3 linked regions of the Oreochromis niloticus genome follow. The protein of the gene in region 3 binds, or shares a complex with, the protein of the main gene of each other region. Links are inferred from orthologs where the notes say so. Each region holds a gene or a part of one and is shown on either strand. Other genes may lie near its edges. The genes, in order: lin7a, lin7c and apba1a.

Region 1 (7,948 bases), on a different chromosome or scaffold from region 3:
CAGGTGGTACTAAGCAGCCCAAAGAGTGGCCAGAAAATATCCTCCACACCATCAGACACAACCAAGAGGCTGAGCTGTTGGAGGATGGATCCATGCTTTCTTGTTGCTTGCACCAAATTCTGATCCTACCATCTGAATGATGCAGCAGAAATCAAGGAAGGGGATCTAGGGGGAGAATCCCAGTAGATCAGCAGTTTCTGAAATACTCGGACCAACCAGTCTGGCACCAACAAGCGCGCCACATTTAAAGTAACTTTAAATCACCTTTCTTTCACCTTTCTTTCATGCTTAGTTTTAACTTTGTCTTAACCTTGTCTGCATGCCTAAATGCAATAAGTTGCTGCCATATGATTGGCTTATTAGATATTTGTGTTAATGAGCAGTTGAATAGATGTACCTAATAAAGTGGCCATTGAGTGTAAATGTCTCATAATTTGGGTCTTTTTTCTTAGCAGATATTAACAATAAAGAAGAAAGCTGAGGTTCCGTCATATGAACAACAGAACAGTAGATTAACAAACTCATGGTTATTTCCAAACAAGGGTGAGTTTTTGTACTCTACTCTTTTTCCCCCCCTGGTTATCCACACATCCAAAGTTTGGAACGCCCAAACTTTGAGACCCACTCACAAAAGTGCATCCTGACTTGCCTTAAAACAAAACTTTAAATGTGAGATTCATAGTTTACACAACAGCCTGGAGAAGCGGATGCACATCACCATCCTTCACTTGGTTGTTCATACACAGGAAATTAGTTGCATCAACTTGTCTCGTTAAAATATAAATACAATTTTAAAGAATTATCTGTCACATGTTTTTCAAGATGATGTTTTTTTCATTATCTGTCTGGCACCGCCTGATGGAGCAATATAAGCAACCGAGCTGCTGTGGAAAAGCAGCCTGTCATCTTAACACAAAATATCCAATAAATACTTTATTTTCGAGACGTTATCGCTCAACAGGAAATTTTCATCTTTTTTTTTCCCACTGTGGCATGCCGGATGGATCACAGTCAGTGCGGCACAAGGATTGGAATCGATGGTTGACAAATTTAATAATGGCCTGTTTTAATAAGCAGTTGTTACCTGGAAATGAAACCCATGTTATCATTTAGTGAAATACTTTACTTATTTCCCTACTGTTTTAGAAAAGCTTTTCTTCCTGTGTCAACATAACAAAATCTAACCTTTATGGATTTTATTAGCCTTTTATCAAAGCCATGTGAGTGATATTGATCTTTTTTATGAATGTGTTGCAGGAAAAGGAATAAGGTTCCAATTTTTCCCCAAATGTCCATATGACCTTACCTGTTGAATTCAATTTGAATGGGTACTGATGGGAATTGAAGATACAAATAGAACTTGCACACTGGCTAATGCTCTGAGCTTTGATCTGCTAGGCAAACAGTCCAGCCGTCTGTATTTGCCCTGTCCACATGGCCTCTTGCATCTCCTTCCGTGGAAGTGGAGGCATTTCAGAAATCAATTCACTTGCAGCTTTGTGGCTTAAAGACCAGTGCGGCATAATCCCAACCTCTTAAAAAAAGCAGACCTGTATTCCAGCCCATATAGATGGAAGCCTGTAATCTCGCTGTGCCCTCTTTCTGTGTGCTCTCTAAGCCCTCGCCCTCTCTATCCGTCCATGCAGCCTACCACTCACCACTATTTTGCATCTGCACACAGCTGGGTGGGACTGTTGGTGGACTGAATTCGCTTTTACTTATGGACTATGTATTTGAAGAAGCATGCAAGTTTAGAAACTGTTTAAATCAAATGCAGAGGAAGCGGTTAAACATTTAAAACATTAAACATTTTAAACATTTTATTACAATTTTTAGATATAGCAGCCAATTTGAAGTGAAGTGAGGTAAAGAGGTGTAGTATTTGCCTCCCAGCTGGGTGTAGACTAAAACATTTAGTGCAATGCATGACAAGATAAATAGGATTTAAGTAAAATGTCTGTGTTTATGAGCCTGGGTTTTGCTCTGAACAGCTGTGCACATGTTAGTATAAGTGCTAGTCCTTGCCTCAGGTGTGTATTGATGTTTACAACTTGCATTTGTCATGGCGAAGTCACGGTTCGTGAGCCATGTGACACGTCATGCTGCCTTAGCATCCCTCCAACCTGGGAATCTCTTCTTATTTCTGTTGAGCATGGCTTCTGTCAGCTGTAATGACTGCCCATGTATGAGACACGCCAAAGCAGCAGGCGCCATTAGGCAACAGATCTACAGTAAATGAAGAGAGCCAGCGGTTTGGCACCATTCTGTGGTAGCACATAAACATGAGGATTAATTCTTAAGCCCTTCAACGTAGGTTCACTACCGTCATTCGGTCCTTATCTGGCTGTATGCAGTGCATGTAGCCAGGAGAGAAGATAACAGGCAGTATAGCTCAGTGGTTCACAATGAGCCTTCATGGCAAGCTTGGTTGCAATCACCTGATCTCTGAAGTGCAAGGATTATAGCTGTGTAAGTGTTCATGTGTGCACAAAACACACATGTGTGCATCATTGTGAGATTCAGCATGCAATCCAGGTCCAGCTGGTTGACTGCAATATGGTGAAACTTTTCAAATACATTACTGTGACAGATGGAATACCAATTTTGACTGTTTTTCAACATATTATTAGCTTAATGACTAAGGTCCGCCATCCCTCTTCTTTTAAAAGGTATCTTATGTGTCCCATGAGAGCACTAGTCAGGCTACCTCTTGTTTTTATGAGCCTAAACTGAGTAACACTCCTGATGTCAGCATGCAGAGCTCTCTCGATATTCAGGAGTTTAAAGATCTATCTTTTTAATTTGGCTTTCAACTTGAAGTACTGAAGTGCTATATCTTTATGCTTAGTTGTTAAGGTTGTAATGTATGTTTTTAATGTCAGTTTTGCGTATAATTTCATTTATGGGCTTGCCATCAAAAGCACTTTGAGATGCCTGCTTTTATCAAAGACACTTAAGTTGAGTCGAGTCAAGTAGACGGCAGTGAATAGAAAATCATCTTGTAGTAACGGTGACTAGGTGTTACTTCAGATTCTAGTGTTGAATCATGGCAAAGGTAATGCCCTTCTATGTGGTGTTTGGTTATTCTCCTCACACCTCCGTGGCCTCCAACTGCTCCAGTTTGTCCAACAATCAAAACATGCTGGGTTAATTTTCTTGTAATTGTGCCCTTGACCAAGGCACAGGCTTGAAGCGTGGAGTTGATCCCATGAGCCCACTGCCTCAAATACTTAGGATGGGATAAATGCAAAGAATTGCTTTTCCTACAGGGAAATAAAGGGTCTCTCACTCTGTGAAGGCCATGAGAGGCTCCAGCCTCCCTGCAACCCTGAATAGGATAAGTGGAAGAAGATGGCTATGATAAACTGTAAAAAATAAACATGTTCAGTAATATGTGGACTTAAATCAATTCAAAGACGAGGTGTGCTCTGGCAATTTTACATTGTCAGTATTCACAAAGGCAGGTTCTTTAAGAAATGGCTCACCCTATTTGGTATGCAAGAAGACAGAGTCGTGCACAGAGTCCTGACTGTAACTCTGTCCAACACTTTTGTGGTGAACTGGACTGCCTGGAAGCAGGACCAGTGCTTTTCACAAAACCTTTTGTGATTACGTAAGAGTAGAACATTGCAGTTAAGTTCCCAAACGCTGCTGAAAACCCATCAAGAAAAGGGAACTCTGTTATCACAGCTGCGGCCTATATCCTGTTTTTTAAACAATACGTTCAACATTAAAACTTAGAATACAACATGACCCCATTCTCTGTTAAACTTACCACATTACTCTTTCTCCTGAAAAGCTGGACGTCTTTTATTTATTGATTTCATTCATTGAGATAAGCTTACATTAACTCAATTTTTCAAATTAAATGTAGCTTGCAAAACGAAACGAATCATATGATTGTCAGACTGCAGTGCTATATGATCAGACGTTTTGTCCCCCTGTTGGCCATTAGAAAAAGTGCAGAGTATGGCAAAGTTTTCACAAGTCCATATTTTATATACAGCACATGATTAATCCAAAGATTGTGTATTAAAGATAAATCTAGCCACTGTGACCTCTCAGAGCCCTGTTGTAAAGCACGAAGGTGCTTTGAAACCAGATGTGAGGAATCCCAAAAGGATGATTCTGTTCATCTGGACGTAGCGTTTTCATCCAGATGAACAGAATCAACCTTTTGGGATTTACTTACCTGGATGATTGAGCATGCATCAAGACAGATGTGAGAAATATGTGACACTAAGATACACTGCATCCTCATAGGCAAGTGATTTGTAAATCATTGTAAAACATACCCTGCTTTAGTCTACCTTTTTAATCTAAAGAAGTCCATAGTTATTCAATCGAACATTATGGTGTATTCAGTGAGGCCCCAAACTAGCATTTGCGACCATAAACTCATCGGGAAACAGTTTCCTGAGATCACAAGTTAAAGCCAAGGTACTGGTGCAACCATAAGAGTCTCCCCCTGCTGGCCATTAGAAAGAGTGCAGTTTTAAAGAGCTTCCAACACTTTTTTTGTAGACAATATATTTTTGATCTAATGTAAAGAATTTTAAAAAATTAGTGTATTTTTTGGTTTTTATATGTTATCAAATTAATTTTATCCAAATGATTTTTTAATTTTTTTTTAAAAAGCCAAAAAAAACCCCGTGAATACTATTTTTCATTAAGAGCGTAAAACAGCAGCGCATAAAGCGCAAAACAGCTGATAACAGCACCGGGTGACGGAGATGGATGGAGATAGTCTAATCCTCTCCCAGCCACTCCCAACCTCTCTCTCTCTCTCTCTCTCTCTCTCCCTGTGATGCTGCAGCTCCTGTAGGCTCTTCAGTCTCCAGTAAACAGCAGTCATGGCGACAGTGGTCCAACCGCTCACACTGGATCGAGGTAAGGCGATCGGAGCTTTGCATTCTGTGCATGTCACCGGAGAGATTATTTTCAGCCTTTTTTTCCCCCAAAAACTTGAGCGAGGATTTGGTTAGATTCTGATGTTTTCTGTTTTTTGGTGAGTGTTTGTCCAGCTCGGATTTCCTACACATCGTCTGCGCGAGTCGCTATTTCAAGGCAATATGAGCTCTGGCTTTTCTAAATAAAAGCCCGTCGGTTCCGTCCGTGTATTTTTCCAGACCGGAGCGCTCAGTTCTTTCGTCAAACTACCGAGGGGGTTTCTGCGAGCACGAACATCTGGAAATTAATACCCTTAAACCACTTACAAGGGGTCTCGTTTAATTTCATCTGTATTATGTAACCCCTTTGGCAACATTGTCCCGTTAAAGCTCGCTTTTTGATCTTCATCTGGCGGAGACAATAACGCTCAAATCCTAAAGCGCCTTGACACGAAAAATCTACTTTGTTAGACGGGAGATAACTTCTCAGGCTATCTGAACTGGACAGGTGCAAGACTGGCTGATTGGTTCCCTCATCAGGGTGTAGATGTTGTGTTTTGTACTTGTTGGAAGCGGTGTGCAAACAAACCGCAGTTGAGGGTTAATGTTGTCCTGTGATGATGTTGCCTAGCCTGTTTTGTTAAGAGCTGTTAGTAATTACAGACTTTGTAACTTAGACACACATTAGTCCCCTGATCTCATTCATAAGATACAATAATAATGCATGTAGGCTGATAAAATGTTCATTTTCCCACCTAAAGATGCTGTACAGATATTTAAAATACACTAAGGTCTCTCGTAATATAGTAATTCCTCTGGGAGATTTGAGGAAGTACAGAATGTCCTGTACACTTGAGAAGATGCCCTTTACATCTCAACACTTTTATGTTAAAGGAGTCGCATATTCAGACCAAATGCAGATCCGCTGGTGAAATGTAATATTGCACAAGCCTTGCATAGGGAATGGATACTGTCAAATATAGAGAAAGGAGAGAAAGGAGACACCTTAACGCTTTACTCTGTGCCAAGTAAAGCCAGCGTCAGCTCTCCTTCCAAGCCACACGAGGGACTTATATAAATACTCTTATTAATTATTCTGTAGGGATTAATCTGACTGATGTCACTCGTTATTGGTGATTTAAGTAATTAACCACATTAACATCTACTGCTAAAGAACACAATTTTTTTCCCTTCCATATGTTCAATTTGTTCTTCAATGAAATTTAATGTCTGAGGGCAGTGAAGCTTTACAGGTGCACAATCTGCTGGGAAGCTGCAGAAGTGCTGTACATGCAGAGTTAATGAAATGAGCCACAGATTGAATCCGGCAATGAGATAAACAATGCAACCTAAGCTTTTCCCACCCATGTCTCATAGTAGACTATAGATTTATTTTTTAAAAAAGAGGCTCTGCTAAGCTGATAAATAGATTTTTAAACAGCAAGGCAAGGAGCGATGTCCTGCAACTTGATAAATTGTCAACATTCAGCCATGTCTGATCTTAGTCATTTGCTTGGGCAGTGACTCAGCTGTGACCTTCGTGTGTACACACGGGGCCTGATCCATACCCACAAGCTGGAAAATGCAGCTGTAATGGCACAAACAGTAGTAATGATAGTTTCACGCAGGAGCTGTCAGAGGCAGGCAACATTATAGGCTTCCTGTCCTCGGATCCTGCCACTTTGGTGAAAACACTATAATTGCTAATGAAAAGGTGCACTCCTCTCGTTTCTGGGTGGAGGCTTTTGCTGCCGAGTTGCTGAGTTTGTCAAATGCACGCAGGGAGAAAAGGAACAGAGATGTTCATTTCCAGAGCTCCCACTTGGCTTGCGGGGTCACAGCAGGATGAAAAGATATTACATCATTGGCCTTCCTGTTATTGTCAAAGGAAATGACTGTGATAAGCAAGCACCGTCGAGAACAATGGATTTGAACCTCGCTGTATAATAAAAAAAGAAGCCTTTTATTCTCAGTAGATCTGGCATTTATGTAAGTGCAAACTGACACACCCCGGAGATGAAAACCTTTCTGTATGAAACAGTGAGAGCAGAGGGCACTGTGACTGAAACTTCCACAGATAAATTTAAACATCTATCAGGTACGGCTAGGTGGCAGGACCCAAATGCAGGACTCAGAGACAATGCTGTAGCTTGAATGCTTGAAGAAAAAACAAGGATACAAAAAACCAGAAACTCCCAGAAGCAGGAGAACAGGAAACAAGGACGTCAAAGATAGCATGAGTGGACGATGCGACAACGAGCAGAGGAAGACTGAGGACTAAAATGCACACAGGATAACGAGAGGATGGGCAACAGGTGGCAACACAGCTGGAACTAATGCAGACTAACAGGACAGGGGAAGCAAAACTGAACGCGCTGTACACTAGACACGAGACTGTCAAAATAAAACAGGAAGTATGATAAACACGGAGATGAAGACTAATCCACAGAGGCTTGACTCGGGGACCGGGGAGAAACAGACATGGGGAGATGACTGACTGAGGAGACAGAGAGGGAACATCAGACACAGAGACAAGAGAAAAACAAACATGAAGACGAGACTGACTAAACACATGAGAAGACTAGACACTGCGAAAAAAACTCAAACACCACACAGAACTAAAGGCTAACCGAAGCATACTTAAAACATGACGTAAATATAACTATGAACCTAAGAATCACATAGAATATTCAAAAAATAAACTGCATATTGTTCAGAAACTTAGTACCAGTACCATGACAACGCCGGCAACCTGCATGTTTCCAGTGAAATGCTTACTCGCTGATGGCAGGATAATGCTGGCCACGTTGTCCATTTCAGTTTGGTGTGTTACTTTGTGTTACTTGTTAACTGATTGTTTTTTTGTGAGTCATATTCATTATTTTATAATGGTCTGCCTGGTCCAGAATTCAGCTCAGAAAACATTGAACTAATAAAGCTCATTTGCTGAATTGTAGTCCTTCCATTTAATTGCATTAAAGTCCTTCACTTTATAAAAAATGTCTGGAATGTCCAGCCAGCAGGGGTGACCACGCTGTGTCTAAAACACTGCTTTTGTA
Region 2 (8,774 bases), on a different chromosome or scaffold from region 3:
TCCTGTCACTGACATAAGGAAATGTTTTTCCATCGCACCAAGAAGACGCCAAAGACTCCACAGGGTTTCTGAGGTTTTTTTTCTGACAGCTGCTTCGTGCCAGCTCACTGGTAATATGGATTACTGAAGAAGGTTTAGCTGGTAAATGGCCATCATTGTCAGACTCTATGGCTAATAATCAACCAACATGATGATGTAAGTCTGAACATAAAAAAAAGCACAGGTGAGCACAGGCAGGGGATTTTATTGATTTTGTTTTTTGTTGATGCAAATTCCACTGATTGAATCCTGTCACTCCCTATGATGGACAAACTGTTGCCAACAACTCCAAGCTACAAGCTGATATCTTCTTATAGCACTCCCCTGTTTACTAGGCTTTAATAAGCTTCATTTTAAGGCACTACTAGAAGAGTTTGACGAGTGGGAGAGTTGTTGACCTGCCTTACAAGTTCTCATTAATAAATTATGGTGTAACAAGTTCAGAAACAAGGATTTTACAAGTAGATGGGTCCCCAGATTTTTGCACGGTTATTGCAGTTCCTTTTTTTTTTTAAATCCTGAAACAAAATCTAGCTGTGCATTAGTTTTTTTGAAGAATGTATTATTTCTAATATCTGCCTGTTTAAAAAAAAATCTGAAATAGAGAATTTGCTCAGGCTCAGTCTAAAATGTAAACCATGCTGTGAATTCAAACGCACCACTCCATTCACTGAGAGAAGCTGGTCCCCTCTTTTCAGGCCTCCATGTCGGTCAGCGATGCCTCCTGGGATGATCCGTGAGATGTAAATTGGTGAGTTTTGCTCCTTTCCGCCCATTATATTGAAACCCAACCCTTCTTCTGTCTTGGGCAGTTCCACAACTCGTGGATGTGAGTGTCCCTCACTTGCTGCAAAAGCTGCCACTGTAGCCTACAAATAGGAAAGTGGTGTTTAGATATCTCGTCTGTATGTACTGCAGTCAAAGCACAAAATTACCCATTTTAAGAAATTAAATGTCTGAAATTAAGATTACAAAAAGACCAAATCTTGTGTTCAGACAGTAACTGACAACTGTCTACCTTTGCTGTGGCATTGGCCCTGACCTCGGGGCTGCTGTTGATGTCCACTGTTTCATACACATGCTCATAGACCTGAGGAGACATTAGTGGACAATATTTCAACAGGCGAACACAAAGAATTCAAACCAAACCAAAGGGTTAACTTTCTATAACCATAACAGCTGTGGGCAGCCAGCATATTTCTACGACTGTCAAAAACACTTTTGTACACAGTATACTTTAACAATTTGAGTTAAGTCAACACTTAACAATAAATCAGGGGAAAAAAGAAATGGCTGTGCAATTTAAGTATTTTGCAATATTTTACATTTTATTTCACACTATGGCTGACGTACATCTGTAAATAGTGATGGTTGTCAGTCCACTATTTACAGCGTTCGATCACATCAATTTCGAGGAGGCTGCAAAGCTTTGTAAAAGGGGACTTATATGATGTGAAAATGTTTATCAAAGGGAAAATGTGATTTTTCAGACTCTCTAGCTTAACGTTATCTGGTATAACACTAGCTGTTGTTCTTATAGCCGTCTGGCTATCAGCTGTCCCAAAGCGGCAGGGCCACATACCCAATCTGCTGATGATAACTAAATGTGATATTATCGCGAACGAATAAGTATGTTTATGCACGTTTTATTATGTTAGAGTCTCGATTTCAGTTGAGGAGATGAGGCGTGAGGTGAGGAAAAAGAGAATGAGTTGGAGGTTAGGGAGCAGAGAGGAGGGGTGGATGTGCCAGATGAAGAAGAGGAGGACAAAGAGGTAATGGTAAAGAGATGTTGAAAACATAAATGTACAAATCTTAAATGGTCATATATAGCTAGAAAGCGCTATTAGTGACCTTAAAATTTAAACTAACTTTTAACCAGACTTCCACTCTCTTAATTTTGGAGCATTCTATTGGGAATTCTACTGGGATGCAGACGGTTAAGCTCCAAACTGTAAACTAATGTCTCTTAATTAAGTGTTTTGAATGATACAAGATGAAAGAGACTCACTTCTCTGACAGCATTACAGAATTCACTCTGTAGGACCCTCTGCAGTGCCTGCAGCTTCTGGGGAGGCACTTCCCCTGTCCTCTGGAGTTTATCAAGCAATTCAATAGCACGGTTGATATCTGTCAACAAGAACATGTACATAACCATTACTGAGGCCTGCAAATGTAGATGTTAACATTGGCAGTGAGAGTTACCCACATCAGCGTCAGAGCACAGTCGGCACCCATTTAAAGCTGCAGCCTTTTTTTTCTGTTACAATTTACATTTACTTGCACTATATTTGTTCTTATTATAGATATGCTCCGGACAAGCTTGTCTCCCACGGTCACCAGAACATACTACAATTAGTACAAATCGCTATAATGCAATAATAAAGCAACTCTCAGAGTAACACCCCTTTTATAAAGTAAATTTAACCACCCCTGACGGGATGAGGCAGCAGGCATCACGTTTTTGTTTTTTTTATTTTGTTTTTGCGAATGTACAGCTTACTTTAATAGCAATGAATTCATAAGCATTTGCAAGTTTATTAAATATTTCTAATCGTGAAGTTTTACGTGTGTACTTACTTGTGTAACCCGTAAGTTTAACCTAACACACAAATCTGGGCTTCCTCTGCACATTTCAGCAACACACACCCAGAACTTATGTTATTTACAGACAGGCCGCAAAAATTAATATAATGATACAACCAGCGTAACTGTAAAATCTTCTTTCTTTTATGGTAAGATACAGTGAACAAACCAGCCAGATTGGCTAATCACTGTCTGTTGTCATTAATATTAGCTAGGTGGCTAATGTGCTAAGTACAACAATGTAGCTGTAATAGCTGTGGCTTCTTTAGCTGGGTGACTATATATACATAATCATACAAGAATTAACCGCAAGATGTCTACTCTATCGTTATCCCACCATAAAACAGAGTACACAGACAAAAATAAGCCGCCTGCTTTAATGAGCTAATGCTAGCTAGGCTAGGTTTATGTCGCCCGCATATCACAACAAATATTTTTAAGCTAAAGCTAGCTAGCTAATTAACTTCACCTCTTTCCAATCGCACGGGCTCCCCAAGCGATGCCATTATTGAAATGAGAGGATGTTTGGCGTTAGGGAGATAGTTCGCTAAAAGGAAAAATACTGAAAACTAAGTTTGGTAATCCTGGCTGGCGTTATGTGCGCTTAACTGAGACGATAAATCAGATTAGCCAAGTTAGCCGGCTAGGCTAGCTGCCAGTGTCATGATGCGTTCAGGGAAACCTCGTAAAACTGTGAACTCGGAATGTTCAATCACATTTTAAAGTCACTGCGTTTGTATTTGTTACTTTATCCTTTTACTAGACGACTACTGGTGTAAAACTATGATATATCATACATACATAAGCCACATAGATTTACCAATATTCCACCTCGCTTTAGTGTACAAATGTCCTTTCTTTAATTCGTCCAAACGTACACCTTAGCAGCTTCAAATGTTGGATATTAGTAATGCCAGATTTAGTTTTAAGCACAGCGGTTTGATTTTATTATGTTTACTGCTGATGCTGACAATGAGAGTCGGGATATTTTTGTGCCATGCATATAGCCCACTGAAGGTCTCGTTGGCTAGAATCCAAACCCAGATTCCATATTACCATTTAACAACCCGAGGGGTGGAGAACTCCATTTAACATCTTCGCTCAGCCTCCACAGACATAGCTCAAAGGACGATTACATTAATATGTACTGCCACAACAAGGGCCAACCAGAAGAAGGTTTATTTGGCTTTTTGTTGACGTCTGATATGAGCGCTCTCTCTGCCACCCCCTACTGGTGAGCTGCATCACATTTTGAGCCTCCATGAATGCAGAAAACTGCAGCTGCACTGCTTCTCTGTATCCTGAAACTTTAGAGCATGATTCACTCCTGACCACACCCCAGTGGGTGATGAAACGCAAATCTTTTGACAGGTGATGAAAAATACCTAATGTGACATCACGAATGTGGGCGTGGCATAAAGTAGACACGCTTAAAGACTTGGTGAGCAGCAGCTTTTGTTCTTTTCTTAACACAGTAGGCCCATTGTTTTCCTAAAAGATTGTAGGATTCACTCATATGCCTGATTTATGGTCACACTGAAAAACACCACGGGCTTCACCCTGCCTCCCTTTATGCACTCTTTTATTAAATGTATGATTGGCAGATTATTTTTTTGAACTTTGTAAAAAATAGTAGCCTAAGGCTCATGCTCATGATAAACAAAACACATCCTTATCATCTTATCTAAAATGTTGAATGGCTGATTCATTGTCCTACGTGCTGAGGACGGGATAGTGCTTGAATTTTACCAAATCATTCCCATTTATACCTTCAGGTGGATTTTCCTTGAAGACCAGATCATTTATGATATTGTTCGTCTTCCCACTGTTTGTGTTGCAGAAGCCTCGGTATCTTTTTTGCTTTTAATGATATTAACTCACAGCATCATCATCAGGCTTCTGTGAAGGGTCCAAGCAGGGAAGTGAAGAAACTGGCCCATCTTTCCTTCACCGTCTTCAGATCTGGCTGTCTTTGCACTTACCTTCAGGCTGATGGAGGCGTGGTAAAATGAGGTGATTGTGTTCATTCATAAGGGATCGCTGGTGTTTTGAAGAAATTTTGTTTATGCATTTTTGTTGTTTTTAATCTTTCTGCAGTATGTTCTGGAAATGTTTTATGTAACGAAGATGAGACGCTGAACATATTTTATTGTATTCCCACTAAAACCTTAAGCTATGGAATCCAGACTTGGCAGGCATGCATTGCAATGAGTTATTATCTGCCCGAGGGAGAAAGTTGATATAAAGCCTCGGCAGTCTTTTAACCCAGGTGCCAAACCAGTTATGGAGATCGGCTTCTCCTTCTGATCACAGTGACTTTAGAGCTAAAAAAATCAGTGGTGATTGTCCTATTGTGGAGGAGTTAAAGCTGGGATTACAGCGCACTAATAACAAAACGCTGGGTGTACATTTTTAATGTACACAAATGTATGGGTGGTTGAATCCATCACTGTCAAGCTCAGGCAGTCTACCCACTTGTACTAGTCTGCACTTGAACGCGTAGGCCCTTTTCTTGTGTTAATAGGGTCTCGTAATTGTGCGACATCACACGTGCAGCTGGAGCAAAAGCTCTGAACACCTGTGTATGAACACCAAAGATCCAAAGCACATAAACTTGTGTTGAAAAAATGTGCTGGTGGGGAGCAGGAAGCGGTTTAGGGGCACTTCCTCTCTCTTTCTCCGTTTTCTTTTCCTTCCTGAAGTAGCTGAATGACACCAGGAGCTGCTTTCTGTACTCTAACACTGGTTATCTGTGAGTGACCCAAAGCAAGGACTCATTTTCTTATCTTAAAACATCACTTCTTGTTGCTCAGGATTTGAATTTCTGCTCTTTCATGCTTCGGACATGTGGCGGTTTGTGCGCATGCATGTGTGCATATGTGCCTCCTCCCTCCTTGCCTGCCGACTGTCCGTATAATAAAGTTTACCCTGCCTAAAAATGCACCGTTGAAACTTTATCGACATTGATTTTGTTTTTCAGTTGCCTATAGTCATTTTTATTTCTTCAAATATTTCAGTTTAATATTGCAAACAACTTCACAACATACAAAATGAATAATATTAACCCAGAAACATGTCAATGAATAAATTTTATATATATATATATATTTATATAATTTTTTATATATATATCTTGTCCTCTGGTGGGGATAAAAAAATAAACAGCAAAGCTTTGACAACAGCACCTTGACATAGTATGTAATTCCAACATTACCTTGAGAAGTTTAGAACAGTAAACAGATAAATTACTTGAGAGGAAATTGTTTTCTGCTGAATATGTAAACGGAATGTTTTTTTTATTATTTTTTTTGGTCAGCATCATATCCTTTTTTTTCTGTAAGTGGAGAATTTATCGATTCACAATTGAAGCAGCATGCAAGCTTTTGAAGATGGAACTGTCCTCGCTCTCTCTCTCTCTCTGTCTCCCTCTTTGTCTCTCTCTCCCTCATTTCTTGCCTGTTAATTTTTTTCCTTCCTTTTCTAATTCTTGGCAACCTAAACAAATCACAATGTCTTGAGGAATGTGACATAGTAATTTAAACTGGGCGCAAATGACTGATCAGATTTTTTTTAATTGTTTACAAGGTCATGAATATGTTCAATAAATAGACTGTAGTATCACTTTTACTGTATAAACTTCATCTTTTTTTACATGCAGTCCATAAAATTTTCATTTGACGGAATAATTTACCCTGTTATGTATATATACAAATAGATATTTTCTCTTTATTCTCTTTTTTAAACTCTTCAATAAAATCTATACATTTTATACACTATCTCCCTCTTTTAATGGTCAATGTGCATACACATGAAGTGTCTATCCTTATAAACCGCCAGCCAATCTTCTTTTTGCTATCCATGGTAAGCGCTCGCACGTAGGACTGGGTTGTCCTGCATTGGGAATTATAATGCCGCTTGTCTATTCCTCTGCAGCCCTCCTTTGTGTACCCCATGGGGTTGCATTTGGTCTCATAAAAGTATTGCTTCAGTTGGCCATTGGGGACAGGGACCTTTTCCATGACGGTAACTTGCTGCCCGGACATGTCTATTGCCGTCTTTTTATCCACAGCTGTCACCCACTGGCTAATACTGTCACACACACTGAGCTCTCCACGTCGTGAGGGATCGGAGTGTCGCCGCACCCTCATGGACATATTAGCGGCATCCAGATAGTTTTTGTATTCCTCCAGGAGAAAGAGCAACGGCGGCTCCAAAGGCACTTGGTTGCTGATCATCACCCGCGAGTTGTACAGATCGACATCCTTGGCCTCCGTGGTGACTACAGAGGATGGGCCACCACCTCCCTGGCTCTTATCGGCCCCCTGTCCCAGCTGCGCCGCCTCGCCCTCCACCTCCAGCAACTCCTCTATCACTTGCTCAAATGTGTCTGTGAGCGAGGGCAGTTCCCCGCGCTGGCCTGGCCCTCCACCGCTCTGGGGAGTCCCGTGGCCTCTTTCGGCCGTTGCAGCAGCGCCCAAGTAGCCTTCCGTCCGATGGCCCCGCATGCCCGGGGCATCTCTCAGGGGCGCAGCTCTCATGCAACTGAAGTATGAAATAACCATAGTAAGGAACAGGATGGTCATCACTCTTCTAACCTGGTGGAACTGGAGGGACGGGAGAGAGACACAGAAAGAAAACAAGAAGAGAGAGGAGGGTTGGGGGAGGGCGAGAGAACGAGATGGTCAGTCAAAGAGCATCTTCAACAAAGTTAGCTTATTTTTGATCCATAATGCACCACGTAAGCCTCTCCTCCTATTTCCACCCTCCACTCTTTGTTTGCGAGCCAAAAAACTGGAGCCAGTAGCTTCGGAATAATCACAACATGTTTTTATTAAACTGATATTGGCACTGTGTCATCGGTGTTTTCAAATTGTTTGCAAACTGTAATCATTCTGTTCCTATGTGAGGTCTGGCTTAGATCTCTATTTGTTGGCAGCAATGCACAAAAGCTGTGCTGAGCATCAGAGCGGCTGCTTATTACAAAAGATAAGATTACACAAATAGATGTCGAAACATCCTAACAGCTTTTTGACTGGTCTGTTAAAAAGGCACGGTGCCGTGTATATTTATAATGGCCACACCTGCCAATCATGGCTTTCTGTTGGAATAATTGGCTGTTTTTCTTTCTTTTTTTCCTTTTTTTTGGCTGTACTGAAAGCTCACAGCTGCCCCCCTGCTTTTGGGTAAGGAAATTGAGGATTTTCATTCTTAAACTTCATCCTGTAGTTGTTGAATTCTTGTGGATGGATTTATGCCCGCCCCCCCAACCCGCGTTACGAATACGCGACCGTGACGTTACCGTACAAACAAATCACCAGTATTAACACTTCGGGAACCTCCGGTGTGGACAGCACTTCCTAACAGAGTCAGTGTGTTTGTGTCAGCGCTGGCAAACACTGATGCTGCAGTATTACTTTATTAAAAAGAAAAAAAAAACTGGTCTGTGCTGTAGGACGGGTCAGGTACTACACCTTGTAGTCATGAATGGGAACTATGGGTTTGTTGAGGGACACTGTTTGTTTTCGGCAGGTGGAAGGCGAGAGCACTGCGGGATGAATTAACAGGAAACTGAATGACAGAATGATGTGATATCCTGCCGTGCAAAGCACTGCTATCGAGGCTCTGGAGAACAACTCAAAACATATGCAAAACCAAACTGAAACACTGTACATACATATTGTAAAATTACCTGAGCATGTGTGCGTCCCTTACCTCTGAGAAGCTCTAAGATTCACAGCAAATCAATGAATCCAAAGGACATAGATTTAAAAACACCCATAATTTTTTAAAAAAAGAAAAAAAAAATCTAGATCTTGCCTTCCACAGGGGCTCATTTAAAAATAGCCTGGCCGAGGCTTTGACTGCACTCTGCATGTCCGAGCCTGACACAGGAAAACACGGCGAGAGCGAGCCCCTGCTCCAGCCTCCACTCACAGAATGGACACAAGGACCTTTACAGTATAGGGAGGAGCGAAACCCCACCTTAAAAGCATTTGTTTCATTCTTAATTGGTATCTGGGGCTGTGGCTGCAATTAACCGACACCACGGTGACTGCCATAGAGATATCTCGTCTAAAAATAGACGTGCTGGGAGTCTCACAGTCTCTATTCAGAATATCACATCCTTCTTCTTAATGAGCCACTCATTC
Region 3 (8,310 bases):
AAAGGTTTATGTGGAAAATAAACAAGCGGACACGCCGTGGTTTTACTGTCGTTGTTGCTAACGAAAACGCATAAAAAACAAGCGCTTGTCCTTCCGTAGTGTGGTTATATTAAATATAAGAGAAAGAGAGAACTTTAGGAAATTAATATAGCCACTACAGTGACCATCAAAATGATGAAAAAATATTGCCGTAAACAGTTTATTTTGCGACACCACGAAACAAACGATAGCGTAAAATGAAACGATAGACGTTTTTCTATCGTCATCCGATATATATCGTTATATCGAACAGCCCTAATCTAACCGGTAACAATACCTTACTCTGTTTGGGACTCTTTGCTTTGGCTGTTTCTGCCCAAGTACCTGCAACACTCAGTCACTGAAACAGTTTGAAGGAGCTAAAAAGGAGCTATACTGCAAACATTACATGTCAAAATGTTATACTGTAACAGTAAGCATGGAGGATGTTCTATCAACACCACTTTTCATCCAGGTTAGTGCAGTTCAAAGAGCTTCAAAATCCAATAAAATAAAAACAATCTCTAATTATATAAAACTATAATAACTACATAAATATAATTAAGCCACTTAAACTAAGAAGGTGTGACATGAGTAAAAGCACATTGTATGTCCTACCACAGCTCGGTATCTTTTAAACCTTTATTTCAGAAATATCAGAAATTCAGGCTCCTCGAGCCTGAATACACCACAAGTCTTTTCCTCTGGTAATCTTGTCACGCAACCCAAAGTATGCTGAAAAGAATCCAACACCAAAAATAGAAAAGTACAAGAAGTTTTGTTGCCACTGGTAGGGCTGTGCGACATGACCAAAATCTCATATCCCAATATGACATTTCTAATCCCGATAACGATATACATCACAAAATAGTTTATTTTCTGTAAATTCAGTGAATCTCAGGCAACTCGACTTGCATGAAGTGTTTTCAGCTGGGCGTCGACTGTAAGCGCCATTTACCTTATGTTTTTCTTTGAGGTCATTTGTTTGATGCGTATTCTGAAATTTGATGTTTGAGAATAATGTATATCATTTCAGTTTATTTTGAAAAGTCTCAATGGGATTTTGAGCTTTACAAGTTCAAAGACTGAACTTGTCTGTCTTATTTGGAACGGTTGCCAGCTTAGGTGTGCAAAGTTGTATCTGGACAAACCAAAAAACATCTGGAACATGTTCCTTGGACAGACAAGACTGAGACGTCTGACCACAATGAGACTGCTGTGCTTGGCGGAAACCCAAACAGACCATCAGAGCTACAAACATCTGTTAGCAGCTGTCGAGCATGGTGGAGGAGGGGTGATGATTTGGGGTTGCGTTGCAGCCATACAACCTTGGTACCTTAGTCATTGAGTGAATATGATTCACTCAATGAATATCAAAGTATGACAGTCAGATAAGAGATCGTCTATTCAGCAGCTAAAGCTTGGCCCAAATTGGGTCAAAGACGCTGAACACACCAGCAAAATCTGCAACAGAATATCTGAAAAAAAAAAAAAAGAATCAAGTGTTGCAACATGCCTAAGTCCAGATTTCAGATCAATACAATGTGTGCATGAACAAATGACTGCACAGCTCAACAAACTGAAACAACAATGTGAAAAAGAGTAAGCTAAAGTTCCTCCTCAACAATGTGAGCAACTGACAAAATGATACAGAAAACAATTACTTCAAACTACAAAGTGCCTGTACACACTATTAATGATACAAGTATTATTCACAGCAGTGCACAGTCAAAGTCCTGCGGGAACTTTTTTCTTACATAAAAATTTGACACTTTCTTATTTGTTATGAGATTTGTGTTTGGGAACATCAGCCACCCCGGTGCTGGCCTCAGTTTGCCTCCTTATGCACAGACAGCCACACACACGTGGTTCCATGTGTGAGGACTATTGTACTTTAATATTTCAAACATCACTTTATCTTTTTCTAAAACACTACAGAAGTCGTTCATATGTTTGGTAGAAGTCACCTTCAGGAGGAATAAAGCAAAACTACCCAGATTTTCCAATTTCATCCAGATTTTCTGAATTTTCTACACAACCCCCAGCTTTCCTGTCATCAACTACATCAGCAAAACATCTGTTTGATTTCGGCTTCTGCTTTTACAAAAGCTCAGCTGAAGTCCTGCTTTGAATGAAGCACGCAATAAGAAACATCGAGAAACGATCTAACCATCGCACCGAGCTGGATGGACCGGTTAGCCCCGCCGTGGCTCTGCACCTGGAGACAACAGGGCCTCTATGTGCCGATTTATTCATGTCCGCTCTGCGTGGGTCCGACACACAGCCTCACAAAGACGCTGCCATTTCGGATTTTCCTTCACTCTGAATCCTGGTTTGACGTTTCATCTGCGGAGCGCAGTTTTCCGTCTAACCACTCCTCAGTGAACAGACCGCGTAGCGAAGCTCCACAGAACAACAATAACAATAATGATGATGATGATGATGACAACAGCCCAGCCCGGAGACGTTTGCTTTGACCGCATCTCGCTCGGTGGGTCGAGCCTACAGCGAACAGCCTGGTCCTGAACACGAACCTGCTCACAGGAGTGATGTTGCTAAAGGATGCAGGTCCTCTGCGTTACGGCCACACCGTCCTCCATCTTCCCTGTAGCGGTGCGCGCGTGTGTGCGCGCGCGCGTGTGCTCCGCAGCCGTTCAGCACCTCCTTCCGCTCACCGCCACCGTCACATTACCATAAAGCACAACAAATAACAAAGTTTATACGTTTTTAAAAAGAGAACATTGTCTGGGTGAAAAAGCTTCATATAGTCACGCCGGTCAATATAAAATATATATAAAAATGTATATATATAAGTTTTAACGAACACCACTTGCTGGGGAAACAGTCACTAAACCACTGGAGTCTCTTTAGAGACGAACTGTGAAAACGCTGCACCGCAACGCTGTGCAGTATCACCGCTTTGCATTCTTTTGAATTATGTTCCGATTGATGGTCTGGCACCTCCTCCACAAGGATATCTTTAATTAAAGATGCTGCGCCTCTTTGTCACTGTGCTTTTATGTATTCTCCGTGAAAGCCTGGACTCAGCTGTAACACTACAACTGTAAGACCGACAGACTTCGTAACACTGATGTCTGCTTTTTCTTGTTTGGTGCTGATGGGTGTTTATGTTTGCTGATATACTTTGTGACATTTTTGTGATCTTCTACCAACAGACTATAGATGCAAATGAGCTTCGAGCTGTTTCTGACAGTTGGTGCTGTGTGTGCATGTGAGACAGCAGAGGTGTGGGTGAAGGAGACAGCTTCCATTCTCTGTTTATAAGGAGAGGCGAGCAGGCCTGTCTGTGCCTAATGACGTCCACGATGAGTTCAAAAACAAAAACAAAACAAACTACTTCAATGAAATAAATATTGAGTCATTACTCAATGTTATGTTACTGACTCGTAACATTTTATTAACACGTGTGCATGTGCCATATAAACTATATGAATTTATTATTATCATATCACCTCTCTGCCTTTAGTCTTGTTCATTACTGTTATTAGTTGATATTATTATTAGATAATATTAGTTAATAGACCTCTCTGCATCGAATCATATCTGTTATTAATCTCTGTCTCTCTTCCACAGCATGTCTTTATCCTGTTTTCCTTCTCTCACCCCAACCGGTCGCAGCAGATGGCCCCGCCCCTCCCTGAGACTAGGTCTGCAGGAGGTTTCTTCCTGTTAAAAGGGAGTTTTTCCTTCCCACTGTCGCCAAAGTGCTTGCTCATAGGGGGTCATATGATTGTTGGGTTTTTCTCTGTATTTATTATTGTGCGATCTACTGTACAATATAAAGCGCCTTGAGGCGACTTTTGTTGTGATTTGGCGCTATATAAATAAAATTGAATTGAATTGAATTGAATTAGAGAGAGATGATTTGTTTCATAGTGTCTAACAAGCTTCTAACAGCTTGTTTCTGCTCTCAGTGAAAATACTCACACTGTCTTTGTGTATTAAAAAAATTTAATGTTAATTTTAATTCAAAATAAGTTGTATAAACAAGTATAGCTCATTTCTACATTAGAGCACAAACATGAGTGAAAGATTCATTTCCACATATAAGAAGCTCTTCAGTAACACAATAAAGTGAAATCAAACTATCCAGTTATGAATTGTAGATTCATCTCAGCTAAATCAGTTTGCTCAGGAACAAATGAAACACTAAAATAAACCTAATACTGAATTATATCTCATGTTTAACTTCCACTGATTGGAGTGTATTCTGTGACGTGGTTCAGCTGACACCTCACCAGGTGTCAGCTGAACATTTTCCAAACAAATTCGCAAATAGGCAATGTCTTGATAATTTACTTTTATTTATTTATTTTTAATTAAAAAAGGGAATTATCAGAATCAGGATGCTTTATTAATCCCTGAGGAAATTCTGTTGTTACAGTCGCTCCAAGACAATAAAGACAGTAACAGAGAACAAACAACGCCACCCTCATGTGTGACGAGCAACGACAACACACAAAATCCTGACCTGAGTCATACCAGTCCCACAGAATATCAGGGCCCACCTCTCCACTGTCATTTTCTACCATAATTCTGTTGATTTCTTCTTCTTTCATTTTTCCTGTAAATTGTTGATTGTTTTAAACATCAGTATTCAGCCTCCATAATCAATTTCTTAGATTGTTATTAATTTGCAACGATAACAGTAGAGGTGCATGATCACATAAGTCAATAAATCAAATCACTTTTATTGTCACGTCACATGTGCAGGTACACTGGTACAGTACATGCGAGTGAAATTCTTGTGTGCGAGCTTCTCAAGCAACAGAGTTGTGCAAAAATACAATAACGTAAAACAAGCAAAAATATAAGAATGACTAAATCTGAAAGTAATAAATATATGTACAATATATAAGAGTATATGCATTATTGGATGTGTATACTAAATATGTTTTTCTACGCGCGCGCGTGTGTGTGTGTGTGAGTGTGTATATACATATTTTACAAATGAAATAGAGTAAACAATAAAATAAGATATATAAAATATACAGAGGTTGGTAGTCGGACATGTGCAAAACAGTGGCATTAATGTACAGTATGGAGTGCATAATGTTGAAGTTCCAGTAGTGAAGGTGAGGTGTCTATGACGTGTTCAGCAGTCTGATGGCCTGGTGGAAAAAGCTGTCTCTCAGTCTGCTGGTACGGGACCGGATGCTGCAGAACCTCCTTCCTGATGGAAGTAGTCTGAAGAGTTTATGGCTAGGGTGACTGGAGTCCTTGATGATCCTCCCCGCTTTCCTCAGGCACCGCTTCCTGTAGATGTCTTGGAGGGAGGGAAGCTCACCTCCAATTATCCGTTCAGAGCACCGCACTACTCTCTGGAGAGCTTTGCGGTTGTAAGCGGTGCTGTTGCCGTACCAGGTGGTGATGCATCCAGTGAGGATGCTCTCAATGGCACAGCGATAGAAGGTCCTGAGGATGCGGGGGCTCATGCCGAATCATCCTATTTGGCAGTTTGGTATTCTGTGACGGTCTCTCTTAAAATAAAAAATCAGTCCTGGAATACAGCACATGTGTGAGTGTAGCTGGTCCCTAAATCTCTCCTGAGGTTTATCACTCACTTATTGTGTAGGAGGGTTAAGGGACTGCTATGAAGGAGTCTAATCTGGGATTAAGCCGTATGTTCCAGTCTCCTCCACAAATGACTATACCTCTTGAACCAACCAGTAAATCAAAAATATTTCTGTAAAAACAGAAATCATTACCTGCTGGGGCACATACAGTCAAAAAGCTCATTTCCACTCCCTCAGTTTTCCCAGAAACTAGAACATACCGTCCATCCTCATCTGTAGTTTCTGCAAATGGTTCAAATGGGACTATATATAAAATCAGGATGGCTACTCCTCATCGATGACCAGATTTGGCGACTTTCGAGACTTACTTCTTACTTCTGTTAATTGGGGTCAGGATCCCATTTACATTTAGAGATATTACTTTGATATTATTTACACTTTGCACAGTTGTAATGAAATAAATGGAGCTCCAAGAAGCAAAAATATAGTTTTTATTGAAATAACAAGAATTACAAAATATTCTTGTGTTCAGGGCAAAACACCAAACTGAGGAACATACATTGAGATTTTTAAATTTCATAAAGATCACATAAGATGCACAATTACCTGAGAGATAAAATGCATCTGAAATATTATGTTGTTACAAACTTAGTCACTGCACAAGCAATGCGTACAATGTTTTCAGGTGTGGTAAACTTCAATGAGAGTCATCATTGTCCCGTTGCAGGGACTGGCTCCTGCAGCAGAGCGTATCACATATTATGCTCCAAATCCACTCGAACAGATTCCAGTTTTCGAGTGTTCTCAGGTTCCACTATCCAAGCTGCTTCTTTCCTCAAGTAAAAGCAGGTATGTGAACCTCAGCACAGTACAGCCCACTATGGTCCTGAATGTTGAATCTGCTGGTACCACATCACCGGGTAGGAGCTTGTGATGTGACCGTCTGTGGTCCTGCACCCCCCCTTAGAATCGAATAATATCGCTCCCGTGGGAATAATGCCTATCAAATACTTGATGGTACTGTGTGACTGTACTGGGAGTAAGTTTGAGCTTTGGCCTTGAAATCCTTGAGTGAAATCCGATGACTATTTCAAAACAATCAATAACTGAAATACATTTAGGAAAGTTCACATAGGCAGTGAAGGTATGTGTTCCCGCTCTGGCTAAATCAATCCAAGTGAAATGAAGCCTGTACAGAAAACATGAATCCAAGGAACTGCATGGTTGCTTTGAACCTGAGTAGTATGCAGGTGAGCAAGAACTGCTGAAAGGCTGAGATTGAGTATCCTCCAGGTGTGTCTCGATAAACATGAATACTTATATGTTGTAGTTGGGTAAACCAGTGAAGCATTTAACTTTATCTGCATCATGTATGAAGGATTCTTCAGCAGGAACATCAGTTGTTTGTATCGAGATGGTAAATCAAACCTCTCCGTCCTGAGATTTTGGGATTCTCTCTCTAATTGGTTGAGGTCATTTACAGTCATATCGTATTGAGTTGATACACTTTGAGAGTATCTAGAAGGAGAATCAGACACAGAGGGCACAGAGAGGTGGTCTTCTTCCTGTTGAATCTCCTGATCTAATGCGGTGTTGTCTTGCTGTCCAGATAAGCCAACAACAGCATGAGCTGCTCCTTGCTCATCATTACGTTTTTTTTTCTTCCAGGTCTGCCTCTGCTTGAATTTCACAAGACTGTTTTGTGCCCGTCTCTTCTGGGGTGACGTGACGTGTTTGAAAACATTAGTGACATAATCAGGTGAAAGAGGAGAACGCACAGGAATGCATGATGAAGTAAAAAAATGTGTTTAAGGAGAAAAACAGTTTGAAAATGTTCATCACATGGGTCGAACTGTAATCCTTTCCACTTGTGGATTACTTTAAAAATAAGTTTGTATTTGTTTCAGTTTTATCTATAAAATAATATCAAATATTGTGAATACAGTCACAGTATTGTTCCAAACTTATACCGTCAGCTGTTAGAGTAGATGCTGCACGCCACGCGTTAGATCCACCAACAACAGATTATTTAGCCTACAGTGTAAAAGTCTACAGTCCTCATTTAGTTACAGTTTTATTCCAAGGAGTGAGACTTTGTCAGTTTTAAAGAGCGTCTGAGCCGTAGCTCTCTGAAGGTCTTTCAAACTTTCCACGTGGTTATCATGTCCAGTATGGCAGACAGCTCTTAAACGACATGCCCATGACGTCATGTGTAAAACCTCTATAGCAACCATGGCAGTTTGTCTTGAAACGAACTGTAATCAGCGCATTTCAACTTCCTTCTCAAAAAAGAACGGATCTAATCTAAAAATTGGACTTTTTTCTCAAAATGACCCGTTATGTAGATTTGTCTTGACCCTAACACCCTCTCGTATTTATTACTTATTAGCATCTAAACACACGTACGTCTTCATTTGGTCCAGTTTGCTGGTGAATACCTCACACTGTCACTTTGAAACTGTTGTGGTTTTGGAAAGTAAAGCTTGACCTTCTCTCAGCATCCTGCTCTCTGTGACTGCAGCGGTCATGATGAACCGGCAAACCTGTTTCACAGCAAGTTAGTCAGTAGAATCAAACTTATGAGACAAATCAGCCTCATGAGAACTACTAATAATGTCAGAAAGCATTTTGGGGAGAAATTTGAGAGGAGAAGAGGAGATCTTGTTTTAGTTTGACCCCACTCGCATCTGTTAACATGGAGCAGGTGGAGTTTATGACCTGCAGACAGTAGGCGACAGAGACGGCGATGTTTTCT

The links.
Region 1: apba1a (region 3) and lin7a share a complex: the UniProt entries of both Homo sapiens proteins name them as parts of the brain-specific heterotrimeric complex. The link is inferred for Oreochromis niloticus from reciprocal best matches to the Homo sapiens genes APBA1 and LIN7A.
Region 2: apba1a (region 3) and lin7c share a complex: the UniProt entries of both Homo sapiens proteins name them as parts of the brain-specific heterotrimeric complex. The link is inferred for Oreochromis niloticus from reciprocal best matches to the Homo sapiens genes APBA1 and LIN7C.

What each region holds. Positions count from the first base shown.
Region 1 is NC_031981.2:15,758,552-15,766,499, forward strand, and holds the start of lin7a (protein lin-7 homolog A), read left to right. Parts: upstream 1-4,752; 5' UTR 4,753-4,853; coding exon 4,854-4,890; intron 4,891-7,948. UniProt on the Homo sapiens protein: Plays a role in establishing and maintaining the asymmetric distribution of channels and receptors at the plasma membrane of polarized cells.
Region 2 is NC_031965.2:17,987,660-17,996,433, forward strand, and holds the start of lin7c (protein lin-7 homolog C), read right to left. Parts: upstream 3,309-8,774; 5' UTR 3,132-3,308; coding exon 3,095-3,131; intron 2,170-3,094; coding exon 2,051-2,169; intron 1,130-2,050; coding exon 1,058-1,129; intron 909-1,057; coding exon 699-908; intron 1-698. Other genes in the region: neurotrophic factor BDNF precursor form, read right to left, coding at 6,399-7,229. UniProt on the Homo sapiens protein: Plays a role in establishing and maintaining the asymmetric distribution of channels and receptors at the plasma membrane of polarized cells.
Region 3 is NC_031977.2:993,245-1,001,554, reverse strand, and holds the start of apba1a (amyloid-beta A4 precursor protein-binding family A member 1), read right to left. Parts: upstream 3,505-8,310; 5' UTR 2,553-3,504; intron 2,534-2,552; exon of another isoform or gene 2,189-2,533; intron 1-2,188. UniProt on the Homo sapiens protein: Putative function in synaptic vesicle exocytosis by binding to Munc18-1, an essential component of the synaptic vesicle exocytotic machinery. May modulate processing of the amyloid-beta precursor protein (APP) and hence formation of APP-beta.